Linked DNA regions of Sus scrofa. The protein of the gene in region 1 purifies or fractionates together with the protein of each later gene. This does not show direct contact. Links are inferred from orthologs where the notes say so. Each region holds a gene or a part of one and is shown in the gene's direction. Other genes may lie near its edges. The genes, in order: NFKB2, NFKBIB and FBXW11.

The links.
Region 2: the proteins of NFKB2 (region 1) and NFKBIB purify together in Homo sapiens (affinity purification with mass spectrometry; 4 studies listed by BioGRID and IntAct, counting the BioPlex papers as one, with this or other methods). This does not show direct contact. The link is inferred for Sus scrofa from reciprocal best matches to the Homo sapiens genes NFKB2 and NFKBIB.
Region 3: the proteins of NFKB2 (region 1) and FBXW11 purify together in Homo sapiens (affinity purification with mass spectrometry; 8 studies listed by BioGRID and IntAct, with this or other methods). This does not show direct contact. The link is inferred for Sus scrofa from reciprocal best matches to the Homo sapiens genes NFKB2 and FBXW11.

The regions. Positions count from the first base shown.
Region 1 is NC_010456.5:113,405,119-113,408,867, forward strand, and holds the start of NFKB2 (nuclear factor NF-kappa-B p100 subunit), read left to right. Parts: upstream 1-1,293; 5' UTR 1,294-1,415; intron 1,416-1,790; exon of another isoform or gene 1,791-2,313; intron 2,314-2,445; exon of another isoform or gene 2,446-2,673; 5' UTR 2,674-2,750; coding exon 2,751-2,771; intron 2,772-3,024; coding exon 3,025-3,109; intron 3,110-3,216; coding exon 3,217-3,257; intron 3,258-3,495; coding exon 3,496-3,594; intron 3,595-3,678; coding exon 3,679-3,749. UniProt on the Homo sapiens protein: NF-kappa-B is a pleiotropic transcription factor present in almost all cell types and is the endpoint of a series of signal transduction events that are initiated by a vast array of stimuli related to many biological processes such as inflammation, immunity, differentiation, cell growth, tumorigenesis and apoptosis.
Region 2 is NC_010448.4:47,702,771-47,706,486, forward strand, and holds the start of NFKBIB (NF-kappa-B inhibitor beta), read left to right. Parts: upstream 1-873; 5' UTR 874-970; coding exon 971-1,149; intron 1,150-3,716. Other genes in the region: SIRT2 (NAD-dependent protein deacetylase sirtuin-2), read right to left, coding at 515-530. UniProt on the Homo sapiens protein: Inhibits NF-kappa-B by complexing with and trapping it in the cytoplasm.
Region 3 is NC_010458.4:52,302,762-52,306,410, forward strand, and holds part of FBXW11 (F-box/WD repeat-containing protein 11), read left to right. Parts: intron 1-1,684; coding exon 1,685-1,871; intron 1,872-2,772; coding exon 2,773-2,863; intron 2,864-3,649.

The DNA.
Region 1 (3,749 bases):
TAGGAATATAAATTGTTACAACCACTATGGAAAACAGTATGGAGGTTCCTCAGAAAACTAAATACAGAACTCCCATATGATCCAGCAATCCCACTCCTGGACATATATCCAGACAAAGTTTTCATTCAAAAAGATACATGCATATAAAAAAATAAAAGATACATGCACCCCTAGGTTCATTGCAGTACTATTCACAATAGCCAAGACGTGGAAACAACCAAAGTGTCCATCGACATGGATGGATTAAGATGTGGTGCATATATACAATGAAATACTACTCAGCCATAAAAGAGAACGAAATAATACCATTTGCAGCAACATGGATGCAACTAGAAATTCTTATACTAAGTGAAGTAAGTCAGAAAGAGAAAGACAAATACCATATGACATCAATTACGTGGAATCTAAAATATGGCAAATATCTACAAAACAAAAACAGACTCACAGACATAGAGATCAGACCTGTGGTTATCAAGGGGGAGGGAGGAAGCAGTAAGATGGACGAGGAGGGAGTAGCAGACACTGCAAACAGTACAAAAGATAATTTTCTACTCTGGCGAAGTTTGAACTAATTTTGGATGGCTTTTCTATTCTGATATTCCAAATCTCTGTGAATGATGAACAAGGCCTGAGTCTCCCAGATAAACACCTCGTTTCTCTTACCCAACGCGGAGCTCCTGATCAGGTCTGAAAGTTTGCCCCCCACCCCGCAAAAAAAAAAAAAACAAAAAACAAAAAACTTTATAGAACAAGTTTTAGGTCCAGATTGCCTCTTCCAGGGAAGACTGAGATTACGGAGTCTCCTCGAGGCTCCAGAGCGGCCACCAGATGGCGCTCTGGCACCAACTGCAAATCAACTTCCTTCCTCTTCCCCTAACTCTTCCCGGCAGCGGGGCCCCCGCTCGAAGCGAGGGACCAGAGGGCTGGGTCCCTCCAGCTTCCCCTTGGGATTCCCCGGCTTCTGAGGTGGCCAAGCATTAGATGCAACATAAGCTGAGTAGCAGCAGGGGCTGCCAGCCGGCTGGGACAGGCCAGGGTAAGAGAGGAGACCGGAGCCGCGGTCCTCGGCTGGGGAATGGCGCTGGGTCAGCGGATCCCGCAGCAGGCTGGTCCCTAGGACAAAACTCACACCTGATTGAGGGCCATCCTCACTCTCGCTTCGCGCGCTGAGCAAATATTTCCCCTCTAAGGGGCGCGCCTGAGTCACTTGCGATTGGTTACTCGAGTCCGGAGTTAAACTTTCAGCCAATGAAAAACGGCATGGGGAGTGACGCACGGAAACGTCACGGGAATTCCCCCCTCCTGGGGCGGAAAAGGGGCTTTCCCGGCTGGAGTCCTGGTAGCTGGAAAGGTGTCGCGACCCGTCCGGGGTGGGTCGGGCCGGGAGAGAATCCGGAACCTGAGCCGCCGCAGCGGTGAGTGGCCGGGTTCAGACCCCTGGGTGGCAGGACACGGGGAAGGGCGGGAGGAGGACCCTTAGCTGACCGAGCCCAAGGGCTGAAGAGAGGCGTCTGCACACTCACAGAGAGCACGCACACGATCAAGATACACGCATACACACTGATGTCCTTGTATAAAGACAGGCGGGCCGTTTGTTACACCTTCACATATGCCGGCGTGTGCACAGCACTATCCATGCAGACTCGCTCACACAAGGACCCGCAAAACACGCACACCGTGCACAGGTGCCTGGACCCATACCCTTCACGCACAAACTCGAAGATGTGTTCACCTGTGCTCTTACATACATGCTCAGATGTTTCCGCACTGAGAAGTTTAAGGACACTCACCTGTATACGCATGTTCAAGCCATGAACACACAACACGCAAGCACATGGGCCGAAACACACTTGTACACCTATGATGCAGATGCATACATGTATTACACACGGCTTTGGGACTGGGGCGTAGGGCGTAGGCAGCCAGAGTAGGTGCAGTGTGGGAATTAACGGCTGTTGAGATGTTTTCGGGAGGGGTAACAGGGGAGCCCATCCCAAGGAGACCCTTTCCTTCCCCCGCCCCAGGGCCCCAGAGACCAGTTATCCGGGCAGAGCCCCGGGGCCCCTCACTGGGAAGAGCCCCCACCTACAGGCCTTCGGGGAGTAGGCCTTCCTACTGCAGGAATGTCCCCCCAAAAGCCCCCAGGGTGATTCAGCCGTGGCCTCACTCGGGGTAGAAAATCCCAAGGTTGCTCCAGGACGGGGGAGGGAAGGAGGCGGACCTGACCCCGTACTAGGAGCCTCCCCCAGCTTTGAAAGACCCTCCCGTCCCCGGCGCCTGCCCTGGAGGGAGGAGGAAGGGGTGCCCAGCCCCGCGGGACCTTCCCAGCATCTGGTAGCCCCTCGACTTCGCGGAGACGCTGCGGGCGCTAGCAAGCCAACTGAGACCTTGAGCCCCTCCCGTCTCGGGGGCGTGGCCAGTGCGTCATTTCCAGGCCCGCCCCCTCCGGCCCCGCCTCCCCCTGGTATTTTCGGGACTTTCCTAAGCTGTTCTAACTTTCCTGCCCTTCCCCGGCCCAGCCCAGCTCCGGATCTTGCCCTCCACCGGATCTTGCCCGCCACACCCGGACGGGTGGCTGGAGATCAGACCCTCCCCTAAATCCAGGCCCCCCCTTTCCCCCCAACTCCCGTCCTGATCTTTCTCTCCCAACCCCTCCACTCCTCCCCACCTAAGGCGGGCGCCTGAAACTCCGGGGAAACAGCACCCGGCCGGCCGGAGCCACCGGACAGAGCTGGGCCTAGCCCAGAGACATGGACAGTTGCTACGACCCAGTGAGTCACTTTGCCTGGCCCCAAAGCCGGCCGGTTGCCCCCTGTGCCTGTCTGCTTGTCTGCCTGCACCTGTAATGTCCTTAGATTATCTCAGCCTGCCTGTCAGTTACCTCTGTCTGCAAACTGCTTCCAATAGGAGTTTTCTTTTATGGGCCTGGGGAGGAGGAGTGATTATGGAGGGCTTGGAGAGCTGAGAGCTGGAGGGCCCCGAGAGTGGCTCAGAATCAGATGCTACCCCAGTCTGTCTCCACAGCAGAGTCTGCCTGGCATCATCGAATATGATGATTTCAAATTCAACCCGTCCATTGTGGAGCCCAAGGAGCCGGCCCCAGAGACAGGTTAGTAAGTCCCCCGACCTCCCCTTGTCTTGGAGGGAGGAACATGTGCCCTCTGCCTTGGGAATGGACTCAGAAGTCCTGGCTCAACAAAGTCCCTCTGTCCCCAGCTGATGGCCCCTACCTGGTGATCGTGGAACAGCCTAAGCAGGTGAGTGAAAGAGATGGCATGGAATGGTTTCAGCTTTGGGGGCAAGTGGGATAGTTGGGTGGCCATGGTGACCACAGACCCACTTGGGTTGAGGTGGTTGGTTGCTGCTGATCACAGCAGTATGGTTGTGAATTCAGGATAGATACATGCAATTATTATGGTCACTGCTGGCTGGTAGCAGGGGAGGGGGGTTTGGGGGCCTCATGGTCACAATGTCACTCTGCCCTGGCACCTTCAGCGAGGCTTCCGATTCCGATATGGCTGCGAAGGCCCTTCCCATGGAGGACTGCCAGGTGCCTCTAGTGAGAAGGGCCGGAAGACTTATCCCACTGTCAAGGTGAGCCTGGATGGTGCTGGGGGGGGCAGGGGTGACTCGTGGACAATGTCCATAAACATTACTGACAGCCCTCACCCCTCACAGATCTGTAACTATGAGGGACCAGCGAAGATCGAGGTGGACCTGGTAACACACAGTGACCCGCCTCGTGCTCA
Region 2 (3,716 bases), on another chromosome or scaffold:
CATTAGGTTTACAAGCAGTGGGAAGCCATAGAAAGGAGAGAAGACATACTCTGCCTGTTGGCAGGTTTGGGAGAAGAGGTGCAGAGTGTGTGTGTGTGTGTGGTGTGTGTGTGTGTGTGTGTCGGGCAGGGTGGGGTTGGTTTCGGAGAAAAAGGAAGCAATAGGAGGGGACCCTGGCATCCTACAGTTGCTACTAACAACCAGGTACCCTTAGCAACCAGGACCGCGGCATCTTAAGTCCCTAGCAACGAGGGTCCTTGGCAACTAAGGTGCGAGAAACATGTGATCATTAGTAACTTGGGGGAAGTGGCAAACGGACCCTTAAAACCTAGCGACCCAGAAAGCCACCAATCTAGCAATATGGATCACTTGGCAACTGCCCCCGGAATCCCATTTTCCCCCCCATGCAACCCCCATCTCCTGCCCCACCAAGCCTGCCCTCGGGCCCCGGGGCCTACGACCCTCAGCTAGGCCCCGGTGCAGCCCTGCCCTCCCACCGGGGTCCCCGACTCACGATCCGGCTCGGCCATGGGCGCGGGGCGGGGGCCCTCGGGACTGTCACCGACTGCTCTGTCCCGTGACGGCACCGGAAACAGGAGGGGGCCGAGACAAGGCAGAGAACTACAACTCCCAGCAGCCATCGCGATCGCATATAATGCTCTGCACCGCGTACGGAGCGCGCCCCCACGCAAAGGCCGGACTACGAGTCCCAGAGGGCTCCACGTCCACAGCCATGCTGGTAAAGGACTCCGGGAAAGTGTGGGAAAAGGTAGAACGCCGTAGTCCACCTGAGTGCTCTGATTGGTCATCATGTGGCATGGGGGCGGGGCGTGTACTACTTAGCCCACCCTGATTGGATGAGTCAGGGGGGCGTGTTGGGGAATTCCCCGCAGGGCGGAAGCTCGAGAATTCCAGGCAGAGCCCAGCGACAGGCGGGCTGCCGCTGGGGGCCCCTGAGGCTTCGGGGGCCATGGCTGGGGTTGCGTGCTTGGGGAAAGCTGCGGACACCGATGAATGGTGCGACAGCGGCTTGGGCTCTCTGGGTCCGGACGCAGCGGCCCCCGGAGGACCAGGCCTAGGCGCGGAGCTGGGTCCGGGACTATCGTGGGCGCCCCTCGTCTTCGGCTACGTCACTGAGGATGGCGACACGTGAGTGAACCTTAGACTGACAAATCGGGCCCCAGGGTCCCACATCTCCAATCCTGACTTCCCAACCTTTCAATCCTAAATCTGTCTTTTGATGCTTGACTTCCTGACCCCAAGACTGGCCTCTGATAAAACCAACTTCTTATCTAATTTTGATCCTAACCCAATAATGTCTGGCCTTCCTTTCTTGAACTGATTCTCAGAGTTATGCGTTCATTGATCAGACCCACATTCAGTGATCGATTCCACATCCAAAACTCGATTTGACCTTCCTGACCCCAGTCCTTAGCCCTCTGTTAGAACTGTAGTTCAGACAGGCTCCTCCTGACCTTTATCCTCCAAATATGATCTTTGGTCCTCAGCGCCTAACTTACATGAGCCTTAGATTTTATTTCGAAATTAATACTTGGCTTTTGACTCCAGGATCCCACCTTCTGAACTCTGATCTTCAAAGCTTACATTCAAAGAGAAAATGGAAACTACATAACAGCAGGAATTCATCTATTAAACAAATAATCCAACACCTTCGACTTTCCAGGAACTGTTTTAGGTGTGGCCTAAAGGCAGGGAGGAAAGCCCAAAAAACATTTGTCTTGTGGAGCATACATTCTAGTGGGGGTATATAGACAGAAGGGCAGATAGACTGACAGGGAGGGAGGAAGGGTAGGAGGAAGAAAAAGGAAAGAAAAGGAGAGAGAAGGAAAGAGAAAAAAAGATACACAGACCTAAAGTAAGAAAGGGAGAGAAAGAAGAAAGGCAGGAAGAAACGAAGACAAAAATTAAAAAAAAAAAGAAAAATAGCATGTCAGACGTTAAGAAGTTCTTTGGAGAAAAATAAAGCAGGGAAGTGAGACAAGTAGATTATCTGGGGAGAACATTGCACATAGAGGGAAAAACAGTTGTAAAGGCCCAATTGAGGGAATGTACCTGGGGTTTTTGAGTATCGTGTTTACCGCTGTATCCCCAGTGACCCAGCAGCCCCTGACCCATAGGAGGCACTCAGGAAACAGTGATCTTCTCAAACAACCAGCTGTGGTTTCATTTATTTTCTCTTTTTCTCTCTTTTTGCTTTCTATTTTGTTGATCTCTGTTCTGACTTATTTACTTTCTTCTCTTATTTGGGGTTTAATTTCTTCTTTTTCTCGTTTTTTAAGATGGAAGCTGAGGTCATTGATTTGAGACTCTTTTTTTTTTTTTTTTTTACGCATATAAGTGATTCATGCTGTAAATTTCCCGGAGTAGTGCTTTAGCAGTATCTCACCAATTCTGATGTGCTGTGTCGTTTTTTGTCATTTTGTTTTGTTTTGCTTTTAAGGCCTACCTGCGACATACGGAAGTTCCCAGGCTGGGGTCAAATCGAAGATGCAGCTGCCGGCCTACACCGCAGCCACCGCAATGTGGGATCTGAGCCCTATGTGCGACTTAGACCACAGCTTATGGCAGTGCCAGATCTTTAACCCAGTGATCCGGGCCAGGGATTGACCACATCCTCATGGATACTGGTTGTGTTCGTTAACCACTGAGTCACAACAGGAATTCCATGATGTGTAGTGTTTTTATTTAATGCAATATACTTTCTAATTTCTTTTTTGATTTCTTCTTTGGTCATCGGATTCTTCAGAAGTATGTTATTCAGTTTCCATATCACAGGCATCTTTCTTTCATTGGCTTTTAGTTTAATTCTGTTGGGGATGGAGAGCCTAGCATGACTTGAATCCTTTCAGACTTTTTGAGACTTGTTTTAGGGCCAAGAATATAATGTGTGCATTTGAAAGAATGTGTATTCTGCTCTGGTTGGGTGTAGTGTTCTCCGAGTGTCAGTGTTTCCCTGGTTCTTTTGTTGCTCAAGTCTAGATTTCTACTTGTTCTGTCAATTATTGAGAGCCGGGTATTGAAATCTTCAACAATAATTGTGGATTCGTGGCTTTCCTTGTTGTGCTATCAGATTTTGCTTTGTGTAATTTGATGCTCTATTATTAGGGGCACAAATATTTAGGATTATTAAGTCCTCTTGTTTCACTGACCTCTTTGTCGTTATGAAATAACCTTCTCTAGCCCTGGTAATGCTTCTTGCTCTGAAATCTACTCTGATATTAAAATACTTACTTCTGTTTTCTTTTGAATGACTGGTGTTACCATGGAATATCTTTTTATACCCTTTAATTTTAACCTATTTTAAAATTTATATTTCAAGAGTGTTACAGGCAGCATATAGTGGGTTTTGCTTTTTTTTTTTTTTTTTTGGCTGTGCCTGTGGAAGTTCCCGAGCCAGCAACTCAACTCGAGCCACAGCAGTGTGGCACAATGACAGTGCTGGATCCTGAATCTGCTGCACCACAAGAGAACTCGAGGTTTACTTTTTTATTCATTCTGACAGTTTCTGTCTTTTAATTGCAGTGTTTAGACTGTTTGCATTTAACTTAATTATTGAAATGGTTATGTTTATCTTGTTTTTAGCTTTTTTGCTTATCTCTTTTACCTTTTTCCTCTTTTTCTGCCTTTTAGAATGAGCAAATTTTGTTCCATTGTGTTTCTTTTGTTGGCTTATTAGCTCTAACTCTTTGTTTTTT
Region 3 (3,649 bases), on another chromosome or scaffold:
ATAAAGTTTTGAAGGTGCATTATAGTGAGGATAACTATAAACTTCTGCATGAAGCTGACCGCTACTTCTAAACTAGCTGTACAAACCAGAATTAGGGGGAATTGTTTTAATAGATGTCCTGGCGGGGGGGGGGGGGGGCGTCTAAGGTTTTAATTCAGCCACGGCCATCTTGGGAGTCTGCTGCGGTAACGCCTCTTAGATGAAGGCAGTGTAATCTTTGACTGCATTAACTGCGATGTAGTGACACGTGCAAGAAGAGATAGTGGCCTCAGGGTAGTTGTAATCTTCATTATCACATCACAACCTGGGTGTTAGACCCAGAGCAGAGTCGGAGAGTTAGTGTGTGAGGCGCCTGTAAACCATAAGCAACAGTGTAAATAGTCATCTTAGGGATGAAAGAAATCTTGGTTTGGGAAGCATGTTTTATGCATCATCTCAGTTTGATATTTTCACAATAACGGCAGAGAATGTTGTCCCCATTTTATGCAGATGAGGAATCTCAGGCTCTGCGAGTTTAACGATTTACCGAGACCTGTCAAGTTAGTACTCTCCTGCTTCCGTTTATCTTAAAAGAGAACACATGTTAACCTTGAATGGTACTTTGTTGTCTTTAAAATCTTTTCATAGAACCTTATGGATTTTTGCAGATAGTGCCTACCATTTTATGTGGTAAAAAAAACAAGAGGCAGGGACGTTTCAGTAATTGTTTAAATATTTGTTTCGTGCTATAGAACTGCTGCATGGTGAACCTAGACCTGAAACTGGAATTTTCTAGCTATGTGTTTGGTGTTCCCACTCCTCCACAGAGAAGGCCTGGGGATGACCTCTGTTTCTTGTAGCTGCAGAGGAGATGCCTAGAACCCACAGGATGGGCGTTTGCGGGCAGCCGCTCTGTTGACCACAGGGATCTTCTTTACCTCGTCACCTTTGTGACGGGCACATGTCAGGCAAAGGCTGGATAGTGGTTGTCTTTGAGAGGATACGTGCATTGTGTAGGGTAAACCTCTTAAGGTTCGAATTTTTAGGCACGCGGTTCATGTTTTGAGGATTTTACCTCTGTGAGAAGATGGAGAAATGATTGGCAAAAATCAGAGTACACCTAACTTAATTCTTGGATTGTCGTTTAATTTTTCATAAGCTTTTTCAGATGCGTCCGCGTTTTACCTTTTTGTCTCTTTAACTCGAAGCAATTCACTAGGTCAGGATTAATAGGATGATCTAGTAAATCAGAAGGGAAAGAACACAAACTTGTGCAGCAAAAGATTAGAATTCTAGTCTCGGCTTCACTTATAGTTACAAGACCTTGACACCTTTTGCCTCTCTGCCTCATCTGTTACATTTGGGCTGTCATTACCCCATAGAGTTATGTAATTAAAAAAAAAGAAAGAAAGAAAGAAAAGAAATCTTTTGTTATAATATCTGACAAACATAGAATGGTCCAGGATTGACTTCCACATAGGAACTGTTGCCGTCAGTTGTTTCGTCTTAAAAAACCAGAACCCAAAAGAAGTGTGTGTGTGTGTGTATGTACTCATGCACTTGTGTATCTGCAGAACTTTTGATCTTACTCAAGCACATCTCCCAGTTCAGGATTTCTTTATGCCTCTTACCTTTAAGGAAACGGTCACTGGTACTACATTTGCATCTCCCTTCCCATTCCTTCACTGCCCTTTCTGTTTTGTAGAGCAAGGCTTAGATCACATAGCAGAAAACATTCTTTCCTACCTGGATGCCAGGTCTCTGTGTGCAGCAGAGCTGGTGTGTAAAGAATGGCAGCGAGTGATCTCCGAAGGCATGCTGTGGAAGAAGCTGATCGAACGAATGGTGCGCACTGACCCTCTATGGAAGGGACTTTCAGAAAGAAGAGGGTGGTAAGTATTTGGATTATATATTCTCGCGAAAAAAGGTTCTCTGATTACTAAAAAAAAAGCAGTTATACTTACCAAATGTGTTGGCCTATCTTAAAGCAAATGGGAAGAGATGAGTGGTCAGGAGTCAGGGGCAGAAAGTTAAAGTTGTTAAAATAACCCCTTCTGAAATGCGTATTTCCTCTATATCAGTTAGGATAGATAGGTTCTATTTCCTCTATATCCGTTAGAAAGTATTGGATAATTTGAATGAGTGATTGGGCTTTTCAAAGCTATGTGAATATGCTTCTCCTTTCACCTTTTCCTGAGGTGCCGCTACCATTACCAAAAGATAGATGAGAACGAGAAAACACGAGAAAATCAAATAATGCAGTTTTGCTGTTAGATGTATTGCCCTTGGTTGAAGACGGGAGGTAGAGCGGGTGGGATTTTTCCGAGGCAACCTTATCTGATGTACAGCTTCGTTTCGTAGCTCCTAGCTCCGTAGCTCCATACCTGTCAGGGACCGCGCGCAGCCAGCGCGGACAAAGAGAGCGTTGCAGGTAGCTAGTGGGGTGAGTGATGGTTAGGGCTGTGTTGTCTTTCCTTATGGGAAGAAGTTTGGTGTGTACTAACTTCGATTTTTCTCAAAGCTGCATTAATGCTTTTTGTTAAACTATAGAGGGAAAGGCGAGGTTATTGTGTTGAGTATTAAGAAAATGAAAGATTAGGATCATGTTAAGTGTAAGCGGAAGTAAACGTCTGTCTAACATGAACATTTAATTGTCACACATCCTGCTTTTGAACTGTTAAAGCTCAGTGCAAGTCAAAAGACTCGAAAGATACATCTTTGTAAGCACCACATTTCAATAAATTCAGCCTTTTATGTGCAAAAATGTAACATCTGTTTGTTTTTATTTGCCAGGGATCAGTACCTGTTTAAAAACAGACCCACAGATGGCCCTCCCAATTCATTTTATAGGTCATTATACCCAAAGATTATCCAGGATATAGAGGTAACTTTATGATTTATCTGTTTTATGGGCTCTTTGTGTTTTGTTCTCAACTTTTTAATGTTGCCTTAGAGTGTTCTGTTGATCTGAAATCATAGCATTAGTGAAAAAAAATTTTTTTAAGTTGAAGTCTTGGAGCAAATATGTCACAATGTGTAATCTGTAGCTATTTTTTAAAGTAGAAAAGGCTTTTTTTGTAGAAAATGATCTGACTTTTTAAAAACATGAAACGCTTCTGCAAGGCCGCCAGTTAATTAAAACCTTAATCAGAAATTGACTTTTTATTCTTATTTGATAAAATTTCCAAAATCCAAGCCCTAGTTTTTCAGCGAAGCATCATTTTACATTTTTGAGCCATCAGTAGAGATCTAGAGAAGGCACAGTCTCAGTTTCCTCGGTAGATTTCCCATAATTTTTCATTAAAATGACGCAGATATGATTCTAAACAATACTTAAGTGACTTTTCTAGAGCAGATTACGCTCCTGGACCATTTCAGATTCGAGTGTAACTTCCCTAGACCAGTAAACTCTGTGAACTTGATGAGAAACATTGGAGATGTTTGATACTGTTCTTGTGTTCTAATTAGTTTAGTTTTATTGTTTAGCCCTCTTGCTTGAACCAGGAAAGACATGCACAGGCATTTCTCATTAACTCTCTCACATGTGTTCTTGGCAGGTCTTAGTTACTTCACTCTTTCCTCCTTGGCAAAAAAGTTCAGCCTTTGCTAGGCAATGCTGTATCACCTATAAAGTTACACTCAGTTTCCCAAATGTGAAGTAATCCTCGCC